5 linked regions of the Oryza sativa Japonica Group genome follow. The main gene of each other region encodes a partner of the protein of the gene in region 4 in a complex. Links are inferred from orthologs where the notes say so. Each region holds a gene or a part of one and is shown on either strand. Other genes may lie near its edges.

What was found.
Region 1: protein PLASTID TRANSCRIPTIONALLY ACTIVE 10 (region 4) and thioredoxin-like fold domain-containing protein MRL7 homolog, chloroplastic share a complex: the UniProt entries of both Arabidopsis thaliana proteins name them as parts of the transcriptionally active chromosome (TAC) complex. The link is inferred for Oryza sativa Japonica Group from reciprocal best matches to the Arabidopsis thaliana genes PDE312 and MRL7.
Region 2: the proteins of protein PLASTID TRANSCRIPTIONALLY ACTIVE 10 (region 4) and superoxide dismutase [Fe] 2, chloroplastic are in contact, whole or in part, in a cryo-EM structure (PDB 8XZV), measured with the Spinacia oleracea proteins. The link is inferred for Oryza sativa Japonica Group from reciprocal best matches to the Arabidopsis thaliana genes PDE312 and FSD3. Residues at the interface, in XP_021866326.1 of Spinacia oleracea: Arg80, Lys81, Trp84, Val85, Trp89, Pro91, Glu156, Leu158, Arg177, Asp178, Arg188, Glu192, Arg195, His198, Lys199, Ala202, Arg204, Tyr276, Pro277, Tyr314, Trp315, Glu329, Leu331, Arg346, Asp353, His354, Leu355, Leu356, Phe357, Arg359; in XP_021853685.1 of Spinacia oleracea: Tyr59, Tyr60, Gly61, Leu62, Lys63, Lys64, Pro65, Pro66, Leu100, Asp104, Leu106, Tyr107, Gly108, His109, Thr110, Lys116, Val117, Tyr119, Asn120, Tyr121, Gly122, Asn123, Glu142, Lys194, Ser204, Asn205, Arg258, Gln260, Ala261, Phe262.
Region 3: protein PLASTID TRANSCRIPTIONALLY ACTIVE 10 (region 4) and protein PLASTID TRANSCRIPTIONALLY ACTIVE 12, chloroplastic-like share a complex: the UniProt entries of both Arabidopsis thaliana proteins name them as parts of the transcriptionally active chromosome (TAC) complex. The link is inferred for Oryza sativa Japonica Group from reciprocal best matches to the Arabidopsis thaliana genes PDE312 and PTAC12.
Region 5: protein PLASTID TRANSCRIPTIONALLY ACTIVE 10 (region 4) and protein PLASTID TRANSCRIPTIONALLY ACTIVE 14 share a complex: the UniProt entries of both Arabidopsis thaliana proteins name them as parts of the transcriptionally active chromosome (TAC) complex. The link is inferred for Oryza sativa Japonica Group from reciprocal best matches to the Arabidopsis thaliana genes PDE312 and PTAC14.

The regions. Positions count from the first base shown.
Region 1 is NC_089035.1:36,100,858-36,104,904, forward strand, and holds thioredoxin-like fold domain-containing protein MRL7 homolog, chloroplastic, read left to right. Parts: upstream 1-1,375; 5' UTR 1,376-1,457; coding exon 1,458-2,110; intron 2,111-2,386; coding exon 2,387-2,471; intron 2,472-2,564; coding exon 2,565-2,676; intron 2,677-2,855; coding exon 2,856-2,959; 3' UTR 2,960-3,030; intron 3,031-3,173; 3' UTR 3,174-3,544; downstream 3,545-4,047. UniProt on the Arabidopsis thaliana protein: Plays an essential role in early steps of chloroplast development. Involved in the regulation of plastid gene expression. May positively regulate plastid-encoded RNA polymerase (PEP) activity through binding to FSD3 and CITRX/TRXZ.
Region 2 is NC_089040.1:2,412,992-2,417,201, reverse strand, and holds the start of superoxide dismutase [Fe] 2, chloroplastic, read right to left. Parts: upstream 2,801-4,210; 5' UTR 2,739-2,800; coding exon 2,667-2,738; intron 1,807-2,666; coding exon 1,723-1,806; intron 1,626-1,722; coding exon 1,437-1,625; intron 1,257-1,436; coding exon 1,085-1,256; intron 936-1,084; coding exon 862-935; intron 769-861; coding exon 742-768; intron 672-741; coding exon 648-671; intron 547-647; coding exon 421-546; 3' UTR 365-420; intron 148-364; exon of another isoform or gene 1-147. Other genes in the region: probable 1-deoxy-D-xylulose-5-phosphate synthase, chloroplastic, read left to right, coding at 3,578-3,742, 3,979-4,098, 4,188-4,210. UniProt on the Arabidopsis thaliana protein: Destroys superoxide anion radicals which are normally produced within the cells and which are toxic to biological systems. Plays important role in chloroplast development, particularly in the maintenance of thylakoids membranes.
Region 3 is NC_089035.1:33,074,539-33,078,693, reverse strand, and holds the start of protein PLASTID TRANSCRIPTIONALLY ACTIVE 12, chloroplastic-like, read right to left. Parts: upstream 2,804-4,155; 5' UTR 2,666-2,803; coding exon 2,632-2,665; intron 2,556-2,631; coding exon 2,503-2,555; intron 2,381-2,502; coding exon 1,709-2,380; intron 823-1,708; coding exon 710-822; intron 339-709; coding exon 76-338; intron 1-75. UniProt on the Arabidopsis thaliana protein: Involved in plastid gene expression. Acidic transcriptional coactivator necessary for the transactivation of many PIFs target genes (class B genes), particularly during the regulation of hypocotyl growth.
Region 4 is NC_089035.1:39,905,212-39,909,437, reverse strand, and holds the start of protein PLASTID TRANSCRIPTIONALLY ACTIVE 10, read left to right. Parts: upstream 1-1,419; 5' UTR 1,420-1,467; coding exon 1,468-2,169; intron 2,170-3,158; coding exon 3,159-3,218; intron 3,219-3,309; coding exon 3,310-3,339; intron 3,340-3,437; coding exon 3,438-3,511; intron 3,512-3,604; coding exon 3,605-3,686; intron 3,687-3,924; coding exon 3,925-3,998; intron 3,999-4,137; coding exon 4,138-4,204; intron 4,205-4,226. Other genes in the region: putative ABC transporter C family member 15, read left to right, coding at 1-3, 119-216.
Region 5 is NC_089039.1:29,436,433-29,440,607, reverse strand, and holds the start of protein PLASTID TRANSCRIPTIONALLY ACTIVE 14, read right to left. Parts: upstream 2,805-4,175; 5' UTR 2,751-2,804; coding exon 2,487-2,750; intron 2,394-2,486; coding exon 2,256-2,393; intron 1,704-2,255; coding exon 1,578-1,703; intron 1,286-1,577; coding exon 1,157-1,285; intron 1,072-1,156; coding exon 982-1,071; intron 908-981; coding exon 757-907; intron 216-756; coding exon 106-215; intron 1-105. UniProt on the Arabidopsis thaliana protein: Essential for chloroplast development, especially for thylakoid formation. Involved in plastid gene expression, probably by maintaining plastid-encoded RNA polymerase (PEP) activity.

The sequences.
Region 1 (4,047 bases), about 3.8 Mb from region 4:
TTCAACAGTTCAGATGTCACTTTCTCATCTCGATCTTTTCTAATTCTAACCTTCTAGTACTATCTACATAAACTACGGAAAGAAGCTAGAGTTCTACTCCCTGACCCTTTCTAGGTTGAGTTTTTTTTGGATGGAATGAGTACAAATTAATGCTAATTAATAATTCATATACACTCCACGTTTGAGCAGAAAATTAAACTGCCAAAAAATACAAGTAATTGCAATTGAGCATATGTTCGGATGATTAATATATTTCATAATCCATTGTATCCAGCGCCATCATCAATAGCTGACACAGTGATACGTGTGATCGGTAAGTGATCGTCGGTCGGCTGCTGTACTGACGGTAGGCGTAATCCTCCAGGGACATGGATCGTCGACAGTACTGCGGAGAAGCACTATAGCTGTGCCCACCACAGTTTGTTTAATGCAGTGAATATTGAGAAAACACCGTAGCTATAGTGTGTTGATCTCTTAGTTTTTTTCTGTTATTGTTTTACATTCACTGTAGTGCAGAGGATGGCTAATAGATAGTTACATACTATTCCCTGCATCTCAAAATAAACGAATTTATTATAGGATCTACTACGGGATGTAATATGTATTAATACTTATGTTCAGATTTTCAGTAGTATCACATCTATAGCTGTTTGGTACGGCAGATGCTCCCTGTTCCATCCTCCACGAATTTCCTTTGCCTTTGAAATTCTAATTTTTTGAATAGGGGAATACTAGTACGCAAACACCCGTATTCGTCCTCTACGTACTGGTGAGCGCCTTAAATTCGCCGCCGAATCGATCGCGATTAGCCATCCGTTTTAATCAAGCTTCCATCGTCTAACGCACCGGCCGTTCTTCGCCGGTGGAGGGACAGACAGGGGATGCGGCTGCGCTACCTGCACCGATCGCGTTAAGTGGGACAAGCAAGAGCGCAAAGACAAGAGCGCAGCACGGTGCGGGAGCCCGGTGGATCAGAGCTAGTACTAGTATATACTCCAGTTTGACGGACCCAGTGCCGGCCGGGCGACGCGCGCCTGACGCCCGCGGATCGATCGATCGCCGCCGCGCGCCTGGACGAGCCCAGGTGCGCTGCCCTGACACGCCACGCGCGTGTTCATCGACAGCGCCTCCTCCGCACGGAGGAAAATGACGTCGACAGCGCCTGGCTAGCACCGTCATTACGTCAACCGCTGACGTCAGGTAGTTGGGCTTGGTCTCAAGTTCCCGACTGGGAGCACATGCATTGGGCCGGATACCAACACCACCAGGAGAAGAGGAATCCCGGCCCGATAGCACATATCACACGGATTTGTGCCCAAATTTGTAATAAGACCAATGTAGTGGGCCGACTAGTAGCCCGTAGCTCGGTAGATGCAGTGATGCACCAATTCGGATAGGGCAGGAAAGAACGGTGAAAGACGAGCGCCGCGCGAAGGCCGGTGAACTTCGTCGCCGTGATGCTTCGTCTTCCCACTCTCCTCCCCCTAAAACCCTCGCCTCCCACCACCGGCTTAAACCCCATCCACGGCCGCCGCCATGGCCACCACCCCAGCCGCCTCCTCGCCTCCTCCGCCCCGCCGCCGCCACCACCACGGCCTCCCAAGCCCGAGCCCCGTACCAGCCACGAGAACCTAGGCGACGACACCCCCGATTTCCCCACAACCAAGCCCCGCAAGCCGCGCCGCGGGCGCCGGAGCGAGGCGGCGGCGGTGGAGGACTTCGTGCGTGGCCGCCTCGAGCAGGTCTTCGCTTCCATCCGGGAGCGCGACCCCGAAGTCCTCGAAGGCAAGGGCGACATCTTGAAGCGAAAGGAGGAGCTCTCCGACGAGGAGGGAAAAGAGGGGACTGGTGAGGAAGAGGGGGAGCTGAAGGCTGTGGTTGAGGAGGAGGATCCCTCCTGGCCTCTGGACGCCGACATCGGGTGGGGGATTCGGGCGTCGGAGTACTTTGACAAGCATTCCATCAAGAATGTGACGGTGGATGGTGTGGAGATCGATTGGGAGAGGGAGGTCGAGGAGGGATGGGTCAAAGAGATCAACTGCTTGGAGTGGGAGAGCTTCGCCTTCCACCCTAGCCCCCTCATCGTTCTTGTCTTCGAGCGCTACAACAGGTATAAATCACTATTCTACCCAGACTCTATTCATGTGAACCCATAGTACCTATATGTTAGGACCAAAGTGATAAACTTCATAAACTTCAAGCTTCTCACTTTATATTGTCATATCTGATAATTTTGAATCCATTGAATCAAAAGTTCAGAACTACCCCTGAAGTAATGCATAAAAATGTAAAAATGTACTATCGTTTTGAGTTGCCTCAGAAAATTAGGTGTTCTACTTCCATGACAGGATGATATGTACGCGTAATGTTTTGCCTTTGTTTATAGGGCAGCTGACAATTGGAAGTTTCTTCAAGAATTGGAAAAGGCGGCTAAAGTTTACTGGAATAGTAAAGATCGGCTACCTCCTCGGGTCAGTGTGAATCATATTTATAGTTAATACTTGATGTATTACGGTAAGGTTATTGAGGTGGTTGGTCATATGCTAAATTTAATTGAGTTCCAGACAGTGAAGGTTGATATGAATATTGAGAGAGACCTGGCATTTGCACTTCAAGTAAAAGAATGCCCACAATTATTATTCCTCAGGGGAAACAAGATATTATACAGGGAAAAAGGTGAGTAGTTAGTTCCATTTTTATGGTAAATCCTGTTCACATAGTTAACAAATTGAATGGAACTTTGAATTATTAAATTCCTTGATTGCTAATATGCACTTTCATGTTAGGCCCACCTTTTTCAATGGTCAAAATTGCCACTCTGACAACACCTGATTGCCTCATTTGCTTGTTTACAGAACTAAGAACTGCCGACGAACTAGTTCAAATGATTGCCCATTTCTACTACAATGCAAAGAGACCATCTTGTGTTAATCCTGAAGCTATTGCACCTCCGTGCTAATCTCCTGCATTTCAGCGCTTATGTATTGAGACAGTGCCTTAATTCTCAACTCTTGGTGAGTGTACACTGTGGTAAGCTTTTCATCCAATGATAACCTGTTCCCCGTTAGAAAACTGTATTCTATACTGGTCATTGTTCTCTTTAATGTCCTTTCTCTGTATTAGTACCTGGTTCAGGGGAGAATATTATTAATTTTGCTAACTTTATTTGCCAGGAAAATAGTCTAAATAGACCAGTGTGGTTATGATGCTTGTATCTGTAATAAATGTATCACTTGAAGAGGAAGGAGAGAAACCTCTTACTGGCTCATCTCAAGTTGGGAGGGGGTCAGGTATCAACTATGTCATATATTTTGGTATGCTCATGTTTTTAGCTGTACACTTTCACCTTTGTACTGTACTCTAACAAAACATACAGTTCATCAAATTTCTAGATAGAACAGGAGGGAATGCTAGCTTAATTATCTGCGTGGCCATCCTGTTAAGGAGGTTGTAAAGTCGATTGTAAACTTTTGAGGCGTAGTGTAATGTCATTTCACGCCATAGATGCAAAATGAAGGCAGGGGGGTCAACCCATTTGTCATCTTATAACTCCTCTGATTATTTTTCAGTGACGTAATTGAATTTGTTGGATGGAGAACGATACAAGACATACCATACATGCATTATAGGGTCATTTTGGTAGAACAATCTCATCTTGTGGAACTGCTTTCAGATACTCTTTTCTTTGGTTAGCCCCCCTTTTTTTATCTTGGGTGGCAAAGGGGGTATAGTTGTGCTCCAAATTCCCATGAGAATGGGATGGCAATGCTTCCCCCGGTCTCAAAAACAAGTCGCTTGAGAATGCGTCCAGTCAGCATAAGTTAAGTTTGGCTATAAAATAAATTAAAGTATATGTTTTGGGTGTTTCCATCTATAAAAATAACTTGAACTATAGGTTTTGGGTATATGAAAATGATATATTTAAGTTTGTCATAACAAGAGCTTTAATAGTAGACTGTCCGCATAAGAGAGATCATGAACAATCTGCCACTGGTTTTGAGTGCTCCAAAAGGAATGCAAAATGCAATTTCTGATCAAAGGTACTAG
Region 2 (4,210 bases), on a different chromosome or scaffold from region 4:
TGTATTGTCGATTTCTGTTTCTTTGAGGGCACTTGATTCTGTTTCTTAACCCAGCCGAAGCAACAGCATCAAGCGACATGCTCCCTGATACTCCCAGCAGCATGTGTTTAAATCTCAATCCCGATATTTGATTGATTGCCTCACGTGCTGTTTTTCAAGAGAAAACTTTTTTGTGTTATAAGATAATGTCCTAGGAGCATGATTTCTGGCATTGCTAATGCTGAAGATGCGTCATAGTTGAAAATAAGTCATCACCAAAAACTGAATGATTCTCTAGTTTCTTTTTGTATATATACTGAATGATGAACTACATAATTAAGCTGCATATGTACCAGATATGATGTTGCAAAATGCTGGATTTTACCTCATGATGAGAATACATGCATAGATATCTCTAGGTCATATCCATATCATCTCATATCATGCAACTGGGATATTTGGTTCACCAAGGTTCACAAAAGCCTCAGCGCGCATCATGCGTAGAGTGACAGTATCCCAAGAGACAAGATGGTCGATAAAGTTTGTAACATACATTCGCCTGTCATCCTGAAGCATCAAAAGGAAGCATCACCAGTGATTTATGATAGCTTAGTACTTGGTGAATTACAATTTTAGGTATAAGAAGAAAAAGAGGATCTAGAAAATACCTTGTAATCCAAGTAGTAAGCATGCTGAAACACAAAAGTAGATATGTCAATATTTAGCATAATGTAATATCTAAACGCAGTGTCATTTCCTTACCTCCCACAAGTCTAGATTGATGAGTGGCTGCAAGAGAAGAGGGCATGGAATGTCATCACAAAGGTTTATACTTGGGATGCTATTATTCTAAACATTTCAAAAGGAAATGAGAAAACATACAATATCACCAAGTGCAAGTGGACTGATGGCATTTTGTGTATGGACTACCGAAAATTTTCGTTCTTTTCTCTTCACTGAAACAAGCAAAAGATAGACCAGACGTGTATAAATCAGACTTTAAAAACTAAATTTAGATTGTAGAAACAACATTTCAGGAAGTCAGATTGAACCAACAGTGCCTGTACAGGCTGAACTTCAAAGAAAATGAAAATAAAAAACTTACAGACAAGCCAAACCCAGCCAGACCCCAAAAGTGATAATGCTGAGCGTATAAACTCTTCCCTAAAATTAGTAAAAGAGCCAAAATCCTTCTCTATCTGCTGCAGGACACCTCGCCCTGGTGACCCACCACCTTCTGGCTGCATTGATTCCCAGAAGAAGTGATGGTTCCATACCTGTATTTCAGAAGATTGAAAATTAGAACCATAATAAGCCTACTGCTCATCCTTTTTTCAGGCTTTCAGTTATGTGCAACAATTAAACATGTACACTGAAGCTATCAGGATGAAAATTTGATGGGTACAAATAAAATATCCAACTAATGGGGGAAAAAAGCCAAATAATAACAACATTACCTGTGCTGCATTATTATATTCTGGTAATGGGTTGCCGTTGTTGTATGCTTCTTTTATTAGTTCCTCCAGAGTGTACCCATAGAACATGCTGGTAGCAAGCTGCTTATTCAAGCTATCCACATAGTCTTGCTGATGCTTACCCCAGTGAAGTTCAACTGTCCTCTTGCTAATATAAGGTTCCAGGGCATCCTGGACACCATAGGACAAGCTATAAGTTAAAATCTTTTCCTTTTAAATGGCAGAATGTAATCTGTCGAGGCAATATTAACAGGTGAGGAGAACATACAAGTTTATACGGCGGAGTAGTGAGAGCGTAGTAAGCCACGACTTTTGAATACCTTCGAGATCTACAGCCCTGCCTTTGTTCTCTCTGCAACAAACAGAAGGCGTAAAGATTGCAACCAGCACTAAACATCATAGTCAAGGGCCCGTAGAATTACAAAAGCTGAGGTACAATCTTCAAAGCTTGTAATGTCATTCCAACTTCACAATAGAACATTGGTTGCTAAGCCCAGTGTCAGCGTGATACACACAATCCTAAGCTCTCTTTAGCATTGCTTGAGCACTACGCAAGCATGACACGGATTATCATGGAAACTGGCACAGTTCACCAAATTTAACACAAAGAAACATTAAACATCTTACACTGCATATGCACAGTGGAAGATGGAAGAAAAATGAGACGTGGCTGACTTACCGTGGTGAATACCAACAACATAGAGAAACGATCTTGTCTAACTACAATGAGATTATATGACACTACATAGACCCACCACCTATACAAACCTGTTCTTAAAAAACTAGGGCTTGAAAAATTACTCACAAAAGCTGAATATCCACCATAAAGGATCACTAACTTATCAAATAGTATATTGATTTGTAACATCACAGACACACATGATCTTTAGCGGTGTCATGTTTGAGACCGATAATAATATGGTACAAAAGATTATAGTGCCACTCATAATCAATTATTAATCGATTTAAAGTCCTCAAATTCGCACTATCCTAAAATCTGCAAGGAAAAAACCTGCAATGCCCTCGAATTCCAAACGTCTAACTCTTTGAAATGCCAGTGTCTCCCTTCCCCTTCCTATCCCTTTTATCAAATCTCAAGTCACAAATCGAAGAACAAGGCAGCTCGCCAAATGAGAAAGCTTCCAGCGAGCGCACGAGCAAGGGGCAGAAAGAAGAAGAAGGTATCCATGGGTTTCGCGACGAGGAGCTCACCGAGCGAAGCCGACGAGGCACCGCAGCCGGCGGCGAGGGGAGAACGCGGAGAGCGGAGGCGAAAGCCGCCATCTTTTCTTCTCCTCTTTCCTCTGCCGCGCTATCTATCCACCACCTCTGCAAAAGAAAAAATCGAAGCTTTTTTCTTTTTCACTTCGTCTCTATCTCATCCCAGGGGCAATCTCGTAAATTTACCCGAGCAAACCACTCCAGTGCCACTGGCAGTTGGGCCCCGCGAGTACGGACGAACAAGTTAACCGAATAATGAATGATTAGGAGAGACGTGATTAGTTTAGTAGCTAATCCTCTGTCAAATTAATCATCGTCCCCTTTTCTGCTCGGATTAATGCCTAACTAATCTGTCATGTCAAGAGCGCAGAGGAGCACTCCGCGTCCCAAATCCCAAACCGGAGCTAGGGTTGCTGCTGCTGCCACTCGCGAGCAGCAGCGCCCCCTCACGCTGAGCCGCCTCCGGCTCCCTCGCCGCCGATCCTGCGCGTGCGGCGGCGGCGGGTGGCCGGTTTGAAGGAGGAGAGGAGGTAACGGTAGATGGGTTCTTGGTTTTCTTTTGCCCCCCGCGGCTATTTCGGTTTCTAGTGGAAGCTGGTTGCCTGTGGTGTAAATTGGGGATTACGGATTTTGGCCGTCTGATTCTCCATTTTAGCTGTCCCTGGATGGATAGATGAGTTTGCTGTTTGTAGCTGATTCTTGGTGTGGTGTCATTCCAAGGACTGATACTTGATTGTGTGCTCATCTTCATCTAGAACACTGAAAACATATGTGGATAATTGTTTATGATGAATTTAGGATCCAGTGATCTCTCCATGTTTATTTTTAGAAAAAAAATAAGTTTCTCACAGGCTAAAGAATACTGTAAATTTCAGGCTTTTGGTCGTCACTCCTTGCGCAGGATGGGTGGGAGATATCTGCATTCTCCACCTGCTGTTAATTTAATCTGTGAGGAATCAACTTTTGTGCGCTCAACAAGTTGCTGTCTCCACTCTTGTCTGTGTTTGAGATGCAAAACATCGAATTTGAAGCCATGTCGAACACTGGTGTTCAATATGCCATCAAGGGTATGTTCTTTCTCCATATCTGCAGTACACTGTGCAGACAAGGCTAACATTTTAGCTTCAGGGTAGATATTTAGTCCCACAAAGAATAAAAGAATGAAGTACATTGTGTGAGCTTTAGTCGCAGCCTGCCAGAATTTGATAACTATTTCACTAGGGATACATTTGTGGCCGGAGAAGGACTCTGAACTTTGTAGTCTCATACTCACAGATGGTGAATGTTCTCTCTTTTTGTACAGCGCTTCAATAGAAGAGTGGCTGCGCTGCCAGATGTCGATGATTTCTTTTGGGAGAAGGATCCAACTCCAATCCTGGACACGATCGATGCACCCATCCATTTGAAAAATCTATCTAGTAAGGTCGTCAGTCATACTATCTTAAGCATAGTAGCATACTCTCTAACTATGTTATGGCTGAGGAATTTTTGACAATTCCCATTGAAAGACAGGAGTTAAAGCAACTAGCTGGTGA
Region 3 (4,155 bases), about 6.8 Mb from region 4:
ATGTATAAATTCAGCAAAAGCGGCTTGTAGATGTCAATAATATAAAATGATCAGGATTGAGAAAAGAAGATATACTCTGTTTGATCTGGTCTTCCCGCATCCTCATTGCCAAAGGATCTCGTTGTATGCGAACATCAGTGCCCATCATGATACGGAATTCCCCAGCAGTTTGGTGTTGAAACATTGTTATAAGTTGAGTATTCTCATCTTCGCCAGTCTCCTCAAAGTGTTTCTGTACAGCTTCTCGTGAAGTGTCTTTGTTTTTATACGCTTCAACCCATTCCGAATAGTATGCTATTGGCCCTATTTCTTCTAGTCTCCTTTGTTCTGCTTCTAACCTGTGTTTTCATTGTATATCCAATATAAGAATGGACGGAAGGCAAGATAGAACTATATACCTTAAGAATACTGTGAAAATATCATGTTGAAAGGACGTTGTGTCAATATTTTTTTCTGCTGTCATAACAAGTAACATTGAAGTACAAACCAGCAGGTAGGCAACTAGACATAATAACATCCATCAAATATTTGTTATAAATCAACGAGGGGATACCAAAGGTCAGTTAAAGAGTCTACATAAGCTTAAAGAGTATCATTGCACATATGGTGAAGATATTAAAATTAAAAGCACGGTTTTCACATATGGTGAAGACCCACGAAAAGCAAAATCACTAAATTTTGAGAAAATAATTTCTAGTATTCAGCCAACCTTTCCTCTTTGAATAAATGTCTTCTTGCCTTGGCAAGAGCAGCTTCTGTTCTGGTAGGGTGGTCCCCAAATATTTTGATCTGCCCAGTTTCTGCCATTGCTTTTGCAAAGACCTACAATAATGAAATGAGTGTTACAATTTAAATTATAACTGACAAGACACAGAGCTGTAAGTTAGAAGAAACACTAATCTGAATAATGAAAAAGGTTAAAAACATCAACCAACAATATAGATTAAATTGATAAGCCATGTATAGGAAATGCCACATCTGCAAGCTGTGCACGTGTATCTACCAGGTGGTGGATTTAGTATGGGGGAATAGGCGTTCAACTGAGCCACACAGCTTTTAGGATTCGTGGAATAGAGATGACCCCAGAAGATCCTTATAAATGTTACCAGTCTAGGCTAATGAAGAACCTAATTCTGTCTGAACCCAAGATATATGGTTAAGTATTTCATCTCATTTTGAACTCCCAGAATAAAAATACCAGCTCATCACTGTGTACACTACTCTGCTTGCATCTTTTATACACTAGAAGATGCATACGATGATCATGACGACATTGTGTGGCTTCTGGAAATATTAGCACTACAAACACTATACTTTGGTTGGATATTTTGGCACACACAAAACTACATGTACTCCCTCCGTCCCAAAAATATAAGAACCTAGTACCGAATGGGATGTGTCCAACCAAAGTATATAGTATCCTGCGTCCCATCCAATACTAGGTTCTTATATTTTGGGACAGAGGGAGTACTACCTTAGTGTTTGTGCCTTGTGCTATCAAAATAGGGTATACGAAGACTAGCATACAAACAATTGAAACCCTCAAAATTGTGGTGTGGACATGCAGCAGGAGGAGTGGAGAATAAGAACCATACTGTGTACATCATATTCGCTACTAGGTTATGTTAACAAGTGACAATAGGCAGAAAAACTTAAGTAAAAAAGACTTATAAGTCATTTATTAAGTTCAAACCAATCAAGAACTAACCGTGTCAACATCTGGACGCCTCCTCTGCCATCTTGACCACATTTCATTTTCCTCAGACTTCCTCCTCCAGTTCCACCACAGCTCTTCACTAGATTTTGGTTCCCCTACAGACATTGCCTTCTGCGGGTCAACGAACGGGTGTGGCCGTCCCATCATCTTGTCCATCTCATATTCACTCAAATTTTCTTCCTTGGGCATCTCATAAACGACGTACTCATCCAATGAATCCTTTGTCTCCTCCAGTGTCTCATCTGATGAGGCCTCAATGGCCACAACCGACTCTCCCTCATCTCCACTGGTCTCCGTGCCTCTCCCTGCCGTCGCTGATGCTACCTGCTCCTTGTACCCTTTCCTTCTACTCCCGGGCTTCTTACCAAACGACGGTGTCCCAGCTGATTCCCCGACCGGTGCAGGTGCACGGGCAGCGCGTACGCGGGATGCAGTGCCCTCCGGCCAGTACTCCTGCCCAGGTATGCTTGCCCGAGCACCCGACGCCGGCTCGAGCTGGCCCGACGTGGAGTCGAAGTAACTGGAGTACGGTGGCGCCTCGATCTTAGATGGATCAAAATGGAGCGAGTCGTCCTTGACGCTCCTGATCCTGCCTCTTCGCGTTCTGCTCGACACACCAGAAAACAGCACCCTTCTCCGGTGAGGCAATCCAGCAAACACCTTCTGCGCACGCACCAAACACAAATCAAAATAAAAAAATACTCAGCACCCATGACAACTGGGAGCACGGGAACGCGGTAAAATTTCAGCAATTTTCTCGGGCATTCCGATGGGGGAGGAGTTACCAAGGACTGGAGGGGGCGAGGAACAGTCTGGGCGGTGGCCTGCGGCGCCATGCCTGCGGAGTATTGGAGGGAGGTGAGTTCGCTTGAGCCGTGCGAATTGGCGGTTGGAAATGAGGGGCGAGAGGTCACCTGGGAGGAGCCAAGTGCGGGAGCACGACGCCATGGCTCCGCCTCCGATGCTGCGGTTGGAACCCGAGGTGGACGAGAGAGAGCTAGGGGAGGGAAGCGGATGGGTTGAGCTCCATGGACGCGCACCGAAGTTCAGGTAGCCGGTTTGGTCTTCGGAAGGGGACAGGATAACAAGGAGAGGTTTTCGAAGAGGAACACGGGGTTTATCCGGTGGACTTCAAATTCGAATTTTTTTTATTTATAATTTTTTTTATTAAAAGTTTTACAAAAATAATTTTCCATTTTGAAAATTGACGGAAATAGTCGCCTACAGCCCTCTGGGAGGGCGATTTTTAAAAATCGCCCTCCCAGAGGGCGGCGAAAATGACGTGGCAGACGGCCGTTCGCTCTCGGGCGACGGCCGTCAACGAAATTTGCAGGCGGCCCCCTTGCCGCCCTCCGCGAGGGCGATTTTCTACTGTGCGGGGGGCCGCCTGCAAATGGGCGGCGGGGGGGGCATGGAATTTTTTCAGGCGGCCCCCTTGCCGCCCTCCGCGAGGGCGATTTTCTACTGTGCGGGGGGCCGCCTGCAAATGGGCGGCGAGGGGGGGCATGGAATTTTGCAGGCGGCCCCCTTGCCGCCCTCCGCTAGGGCGATTTTGCACTGTGCGGGGGGGCCGCCTGCAAATGGGCGGCGAGGGGGCATGGAATTTTGCAGGCGGCCCCCTTGCCGCCCTGGGGGAGGGCGATTTTTGCCTCCCCCCTATAAAGCCCAGCCCCTCCCCTGTGAAATTTCATTATATTCACTAAAAATCCAAAAAAACGAAAGAGAGAGAGAGGGGAGGGCAGCAGAAGGGAAGCGGCGAAGCCCTGCTGGTTCGCTCACTTCATCACAGGTATGCTCCCATACATCTTTTGCATTTGTACTAATATATTACGTTTGAGTACATATGTTGCGTTTTAGTTTTAGTTCCATATATTTTAGCAGATCTGTAGCACACAGCACATATGTGTAGATCCAGAGCATAGAATATAATAGTATGAATTGAGACATAGACAGTAGTGTTAATTGTAAGATGTAGTTTAGTTTGATCTGGAGAATGTAACCTACTTTTAGAAATTTAGAGAACAATATTGTAGAGAATGTAACTTAGGGCGTAGTACAGAAATGCGAGGTTAACGCAGTTATTGTTTTCATCAGGCACAATGTCAAGTAAGGTCACATTTCAGATAGTTCACGGTGAAGGAAATATTAGATTTGGTCCAGATGGTGTTGATCTGTCAGATTTTGTAATGACATCTAAGGGCATCGATAGGCCTGCGGAGAGAACATTTGAGTCAATTTATAGTTGGTTGTTGAGAGGATTTAGAATAGACCAAGAAGTCTACACAATGTCAGTATCTGTTGTAGTGAGTCGTGCAATAGAAGGTTATTTTTGGGAACTAATGCCGATGGACAGCACTGCTGCTTGGAGACGGTATGTGGAAATGGCTTTTGAACGGTCATGGCCCCTCGTTATATTTGTGTCGGTACAAGAGAAAGAT
Region 4 (4,226 bases):
AAGGTAAAAGATATCCACGAATAACCCATGTTTTTCCTTTGGTTCAACAAAAGCAATTCTAATTTATAAAAAACTATATTAAGCGATGGAAGTACCTTTTTTATTGTTCGTACTGCAGGTAAGATACTAGAGTTTGATTCTCCAGAAAATCTCCTCAGAGATGAATCATCAGCTTTCTCAAAGCTGGTGATGGAATTCGTGGGAAGATCATCATAGGGTAGACATCAACCAGAGTTAACATAGAGATATCAAGCAGCCACCAACCTACTTAACTCCATCTAGACTTGTATTTATCAACATTGAAACTAACAGGGCATGAAGAAGGTTTACGAGTGGACAGCAGGCATCAGAAGTACAGAAGGAAATTTTGGTTTAAGTGAAGACTATGCTAGCATTAGATACTGATCTTTTCCTGATCTAGCCCTTACCAATTGGACAGTTGCTGAATGGTGTTCATATTATATTGGCAATGCAAGTGATCTTAGATAGATTCATATTCTTTTCCACCAACTACTAGATCAAAATAAATTGTAGCCTTAATTATATTCACCAAATCATTCGTTGTTGATTTGTTTGGATAACCGGGGTATTTTTTATATTGGTTGTCACAGTACGATGCCACCCTATAGTTTGATTTTGTAAACAAAAAGGGGCATAGCTCCTATTTCCATGCCACCATATTTGCTGAAATAACACATGGATCGGTTTTTAGCACATCAGAATTTCCAGGTAACAGAAACATATCAAGAGCAGCGCCTACAGCTCCTCCCACCAGTTTAAGAATACCGGGTTTCTACTCCACAAGCACTGATGCACAATATGCATTAAAAAAACGCCGAAGCTGGCAGATCAGAAAGTAATTGGAAATACAAATCCATGGTCCCTAAATGCTACGATCAGAAACAGCGGGGCGGGTTGGGAGGGAGTCCATACCGAGCGTACGCCCTGCGAGGCAAAAGGTCGAACAGTTGGCGAGCACTTGAAAACGCCCCACGGCTCCATTACACGGTCGCCCTCCCCCACCAGCTCCAGCTCCCCTCCCTCCCACGGACCCGCACGCACGGCCGAACGCGAAAGCAGGCTGGCCAGCGCGTTCCACCGCCGCTGTCTCGCTCTCTCTCCGCCGCCACCGCCGCCGCCGCCGCCAGCCTGCGCGTTCCACCGCCGCTGTCTCGCTCTCTCTCCGCCGCCGCCACCGCCGCCGCCGCTGCGGCGGCGGCGGCATTGGTCTGCGTCGCCGTGGTGAATTCGTTGTAAGGCCCAATCGGACGGAAATCCAAATTTTGGTGGGCCTAGTTGGGCCTCCGCCTTCTCATCTCATGGGCCATTATACTGTAGCAAAAGGACTGAATCTCTCACTGACATGTGGGGCCCACGACCTGCCTTATCCTCTCCTGTTTCAGCTCACTTAAACCCCTCGACGTCGCCACCGCCGGCGACGCCGTCGTCCCCAAAACCCGAGCAAGAATGGCGGCCACTCCGGCCACCGCCACCTTCCCGCACCTCGGCCTCCGCCCCAAGCCCCTCCTCAGGCGCCGCCTCCGCCGCATCGCCGTCTCCGTCTCCCCCTCCGGCCCCGACGAGACCCCCGCGGATGACCCGCCGGTGATCCCCTCGATCCTCGTCAAGAACACCGAGCCCGAGGACGTCGCCCGCCGCCGGAGCTGGGTGGAGCACGGGTGGGCGCCGTGGGAGGAGATCATGACCCCCGAGGTCGCGTTCGCGCGGCACAGCCTCAACGAAGGGGAGGAGGTGCCGCTCCAGACGCCGGAGTCGCAGGAGGCGTTCCGGATGCTCACCCCGGCGTACCGGGAGAAGGTGGAGTCCGAGCCCGGGTACGAGGAGCGCCTCTTCGCCACGCGCGACACGCCCGAGCCCCTCGAGACCTCGTGGGCCGGCGAGCTCCCGCTCCGGCTCGTGCCGCCGCGGGACTGGCCGCCGCCGGGGTGGGAGGTGGACCCCGGCGAGCTGGAGTTCATCAGGGAGGCGCACAGGGAGTTCACGGAGAGGCTGGACATGGCGGCGGTGGCGGCCAAGGGGGTGACGCACGTGGACAAGGTGGAGAACGCGCCGGATGATCTGGGGCTGGATCGATACAAGATGTTCTTGAAGCAGTACAAGGAATGGGTGGAAGCCAATCGGGACAGGTTGGAGGAGGAGTCCTACAAGGTAAAGCCGTTAATTTTGTTCGATCATTTGTGTGATGGTTTGATTTAACTGGGAATTTGCGTTTGACTGTGCATTGTGTTAGTTAGATGTAGAAGTGTTCATGCTTTAGTGGTCTGTGCCTGTAATTAGATATCTGCAGACCAATTGCTTCAGTTCACATTGGTTATGGAACGTGTTGGCATGCTGCTAATTACTATGATAATTATCAGAGGTGATAAGTTCACAAAGGATGGAAGAAATACCTGTAGAATGTAACAGTAGTCCAAAATCATTATTCTGGTAATAACTAGATAGTTGAAAATAAACCTTTTTAGTGATTACTGCAGTGGTTTATTGTGAATTTGTGATATCTTAATAAAAGTATTTTACATTTGTATGAACAGTCTACTATTATCAGAAAACCTAGACAACGGTATCCCGTTGGAACGGGATACCCTTATATGAGACTTACCTAATACCTAATACCTGTTGTGGTACCAGCTGCATGGTACCCTATACCTGTGATACCTGTTACCCGGTACCTGTGATACCTAGGACCTGATACCTGTGATACTCGTGCAAGAGAATAGTTAATATATCTATCCCGTTGCAACGGGATCCCCTTTTGTAGCGGCCCTCTACTATTATTGTATTTTCTTATCACTTAAAAAAAGTTCCTTTTCGACCCAAAAAAAAAAACTGTTATGGTGTTCAGAACCCCCTCAGATGCCTATTTCCTTGTACGTCATGAACACCTGTGTCCTAAACTCTTAGGTTCGATGTTGGCAAGTTGTTTTGTTATTCATTTGAGTGGCTCGGTATTGTCTGTTTTATGCTCTCTTCAGAGAGAGGCACGTCAGATAACCATGGGTTGATTTTATCTCCTGTAACTAAGCTTTGTTTGTTGGTTTAGACCTTTAGTTTAGGGGTTGAGTCTCACTTGTCATCTTTAAGAGTATTTGTAGTGTTCTAGGCGGTAATACCCCTCTTTGGCTATTTTTGTCGTGCAGTTTGATCAGGATTACTACCCTGGCAGACGGAAAAGAGGTGAGGACTACAAAGAGGACATGGTATGTTCATTACCTCTTGACAATTCACTGCCTGGTCAATTTTAATTTCTTGATATTATTAGTTCCTGATGTCTTGATTGCTTTTATGCAGCTTGAACTCCCGTTCTTCTATCCTGGACAGGTTTGCTAGAAGTTCTGATTGTACTCTCATTCTTCAGCAATTTGTTGACTGTTCTCGCCCTTAAATTCTGATTGTTTGGTTGAATGCATCTCATGCAGATCTGTCGTGGTCGAGTGATCAGTGTTCACCTCTATCAGGGAGCTTTTGTGGACATCGGTTGTGTTCATGATGGGTATGGTTTCTTGTTCTGATATACAATTGTGGACCTGGTATACTTATTTGTGAAAGAATTCTGCGTGCCATTTACATCTCATTATTTGTTTAGGTGGGTACCAATAAAAGGAAATGATTGGTATTGGATCCGTCATCACATCAGACCTGGCATGGAAGTCCATGTAGAGATTCTGGTTAGTGATCTCAAATTTCACTCTTACAGTGGTTAATGATATGATGGCAGCAATACAAAAGATTAAGGAAATATTTAAGAAGTTCGCATTGCTAAGTGAATATGCCAATTGTGTCTTTTCAATTTGCATTAACTGAAAATGAATTTATTTTTCATAGAAAAAGTTTTATTCCTTTGTTGCCTGAGTTGTGGAAATTTCTTTAATTAATTAATGGAGCTTGTATAACTGTATGATGCAGGCCAAACGAGATCCCTACCGCTTCCGTTTCCCACTCGAAATGCGCTTTGTATATCCTAACATTGATCATCTAATGTGAGTATCATCATTTGAAATGCGTGTGCCAATGATTTCTGACAATCTGGAGGTTTCAGTGCCCTGTGTCTTGTGCATTTCTTCAGTTTGTTTTTAGTTGACTAACTGTTTGTCATCTTATTTTTCTTTCTAACCGCAGATTCAATAGGTTCGACTATCCACCAATATTTCACCGCAAGGAAGATACTAACCCAGAGCAGTTGTGGGTGTGACCTCTGTCCTCCTGAA
Region 5 (4,175 bases), on a different chromosome or scaffold from region 4:
GGCAACTTTCCATGCAAATAAGGAATTTTTAATTATAATATAACATTAAACTAGTCGCTCTTTGCTCACAAGGAAGCTAATTGTACTCTAAGCTCTAAACAGTACCTCATCTCCTTTTTTGACAGCATGCCCAGCCTTAATCATGACTTCAACCATACGATCTTTGAAACGCCAATGCAGGAAACAATTAGCATCAGGTGAATGATTCAGCATATCTGGAGACAAATAGGCAAGCTATAAGTTATGATGAGACTCAGTATCAGTAATCAGAAGCTAGAATATGCTGATTATCAGAACAGTATAGTTTTGAATTTCATGCCTTTGTGATAATTATTAAGTAATTCAATGTAACTATACTGCCTGACTAGAACGTCTAGAAGGAATAAAGCGTAGTATTGGTGTGAAAAATGACAATAGATATTAGTTAGATCCTTATTCCAACAGAGTTTAACCATACAGAAGTAGTGCTGATATTAGAAAATATAATATCTTGGATCAGTTGGTAACTATGATTTACTGTGCAAGTAACATTAGCGCTATAACATTATAAAAACCTTTATAGCATTCGCCAGCTCAAAATAAATGGAGCAAAAGATCCCTCAGACCGCAGCCTTGACTTAGACTGTTAGACATCTGATTATCATCGCAAGCTGAAGAAACTAAGTGATTTTATTCTTAATTTTAGTAATCGGTGCTTAATACACACTGAAAATAAAAATAAAGAGCATAAAGGGGAACAGATAAGAAAACATGTACCAGCATACGGCACTAGGACATTTGCATCTTGGAGGAAGGCTCCCATTCTCAGTTTCAAATTGACAGAGCGAGACTGAACAATACTCAGTGCCCATAGAAATCTTTCATGGTCAGGGGCAAGACGCTTTAGCTTTAGAGGGATTGTTTTATGCTGGACATTACCCATCAAGCTAGTGTTAGATGTACCCAAGCCAGCGAAGTTGATCAAATAGTACAGAAGTGTACCCAATGTTTTTGCCAAAAATCAATTGCTCTCTTCTGGTTCTTTAACATTTTCGTGGCAAGATCTTGGTCTTCTAGTTCCATTAGATCGTCCTGGCAAGCCAGGCATGTAAATTCATTCAAACTGTATTGTCAGGTTTAAGAAGACTACAATTCATTTTGTTTAGATTTACAATACCTTTGGTGCCAAAAGCAAGCTAGTGCATTCATCAACACTAGGCAAAAAATCACCATATAGCTGCCAAAAGTTGTCTTCTACATCAAATGCATAGAGAAGAAGGCAAGCTAACCTTAGATCCCAATCTGTCTGCAAGAGGGTACAGATTGCGTTAGGATGCAGTCTACATCACTTATGAAGCTTTGACACCGCATGAAGGAAGAAAACAGGTTGCAAGTGTTGAGTAATACCATCCCTTTTATCCAATATAACAGCTTATTTTCATAGTAGATGGAATGGGCAGTCAAAGCGCTATTGAATCTTAATTACACAATGTTCCTCATAAGTGATTCTGTAGAAACTAAAAAACACAAACTCTGGAATGCACATACAGTCTTCACTGGAACATACCATAATTAGAGGGTTAGAGGGCTCCATTTACCTCAGGATCTGTTGATTCAATGATGTCAAATATGGGATGGCCTAGTGGAATAATGTCGGGGAAAAACATCCAAGGGCGTTTTTGAGTTATAGTCAGCATCAGCTCCAATGGAATCTCCATAATCACCTGATAAAGTGAAATGAATTTTTATATATATGCCAAGAAGATTATGCATAAGTGTGTGATTAAACTTAACTAGTTCTTAAAAAGTAGTGAACACACGAGCAAGCTGCCTCATGATTTCTGAAATAGAACAGTTCTATGTGGTATATTAAAGTGAAGCACTAGCAAGCTTTAGTTGCATCCAGAAACTGAATGTGAGCAGTCCTTACACCATATTTGATTATTTGCATAGCATTATAAAAGGCAGCAGAAGATATGTAAGCGTAAAGTACCTAACAAATTCAAAGATTGACTTCATTTCGTACTATTCAGTAGAATTCATATTTGTTCTGATAGTAGGACATACATACGCTAACCAACTAGCAGTAAATGGTAAAGTAACAACCACAGAATGTAGACCATATATATGTACTGGAGTGGAGTGAGTACTGGCTGTGGCTGGCTCTACATTGTACTTGTACATGCTATTTGTAATGCCCCTTTGTAAGTATAGTACTTATGTCCAATTGCAGTGAATTGGAAAGATAATGATGGGATAGTTAAAGAAAGGCTCACTCTAGCTCTGCGGAGTGGGTCGACGTCCCGGGAGGCATAGACGGCCATCCCATCGGGGCCTTCCAAGAACTCAACCCCGTACGCCCGCATCATCCGCGCGTACCCTATCCGGTAGAAGTCGGGGTCGGCCGGCTCCATCTGCACACGACGACATTGTTCATCATGCATGCATGCGCGCGAGCAGAAGAGATGTGAGCAACGGAAGCAACTAGGCGGGAAGAGATTGAGCACCTCGGGCGGGAAGGGGTCGTCCTCCTGGGGCGGTTCGAGGAGCCTGAGCGGGGGGGCATCGTCGTCCTCTTCCTCCTCGCCGACCTCCTCCGCCGCCGGTGGGGGTGCCGCGGGAGGCGGGTCCCGGAGGCGAGGGCGTCCGGCGCGGGGAGGCCGCAAGACGAGGCGGCGGGCGCAGGGAACGGCGCGGCGAGGCGGGAAGGTGGAGGCCGGGAGGGGGAGGGGGAGCGGCAGCAGGAGAGGGGAAGCGGCGGGAGTCGCCATGGGTGGCGATGGGGATAGGAAGCGCACCTCCTGCGATGGAAGAATACGTTATCTACTGCTGCGATGGACGAGACGAGATTTTAGCCCATTCAAATGAATGGCCCATGGGCCTTAAAATCTATAACCTCGCGAGGAATAAGTGTATATTAGCTCCCTTATCGTTCGCTCCTAATTGAATCACCTCCCTCAACCACACAACCTGGTATAGCGCATCTCCCATCTTCAAAAACTGATACAAATTAACTCCTTTATGGTTTGGAAAACGGTTTTCTCTAACGTGGTAGGTTGACCGTACTTGACTCGTTGAGTTAGCAGGTAGAACTCACATGTCAGCAACTTCCTCCTCATCTTGTTTTCTTCCTCACCTTCCCTCTATCTCTCTTTCCTCTCTTGTGGGCCTCGTTGGGTGGCGACAACAGAGTGAGTGACAGCGGTGGAGAGTCGAACCCGAGGAGAGCGGCAGTGGTGACGACTGACCAGCCGAAGCCCTACTCTCCTCTAGTGACCACAGCAAAGGCCAGCCAAGGGCCTCATATATTATCTGTCTTGACTGTAAGGAATACATCGATGAGATTCTCGGAGATAGTTTTTTCTTCTATATTTTAATATAAAGGTTCTAATATATCCAGCAGAGCTCCTGCCGTTCAATGTTTTTAAAAATTAATATCAGGGTTGACCCATTCATTCGTAAAAAGATTCAGAGTTTACAAGATCCTTTATACAACCAGGGATACATTGTTAGTAAACCAAGTGAACAGCAAGCTAGCTTGTTCTAGCTAACATATGAACCACCTCATCAGCTCTGCGGCTTATGGCTTACGCTTACATGAACAAAAGAAACTTAAGTAAAACATCTTGCCAATGATTTCATCTCAGCAGCAATAAAGCCCGTTAAGGACCTATCTCTGGCAACAACATTCAACTTTGAGGCAGGGGAGGGAATCAATTAATCTTGTTTCATACCAATATTATCTATCTATCTATTTTTATCTTTTTAGAAATCTATCTATCTATCTATGTGCGCGCGCGTTTTGTGCTCAGAAGGTGATGGCAGATCTGTTCTAATCGAGAAAACCATGTGGAACATATATTAAGATCATGTGGAGAAGAAAAAAGAAAGAGAGAACAATAAAGGATTCTATTATCTAGTCATATACTCATATATGAAGAAATTAAGATTTTTAATATTATTATAACATTATTCCAAAAAAAATATTCTTATATCAGTGTCCATACGATGGTAAATATAGATATTATATGGCACCTAAAAACAATAGATGCACTACATATATATAATTTGTTGTTTTTGTGTATTTAGACCGGGAATACGTTTACTGAAAGAGAGAGATACATGAAAACATATGCACATTGTATTGTTGTCTGAAAAAATTGTCACTGCTACACTATCCGTTATAAGACAATTAG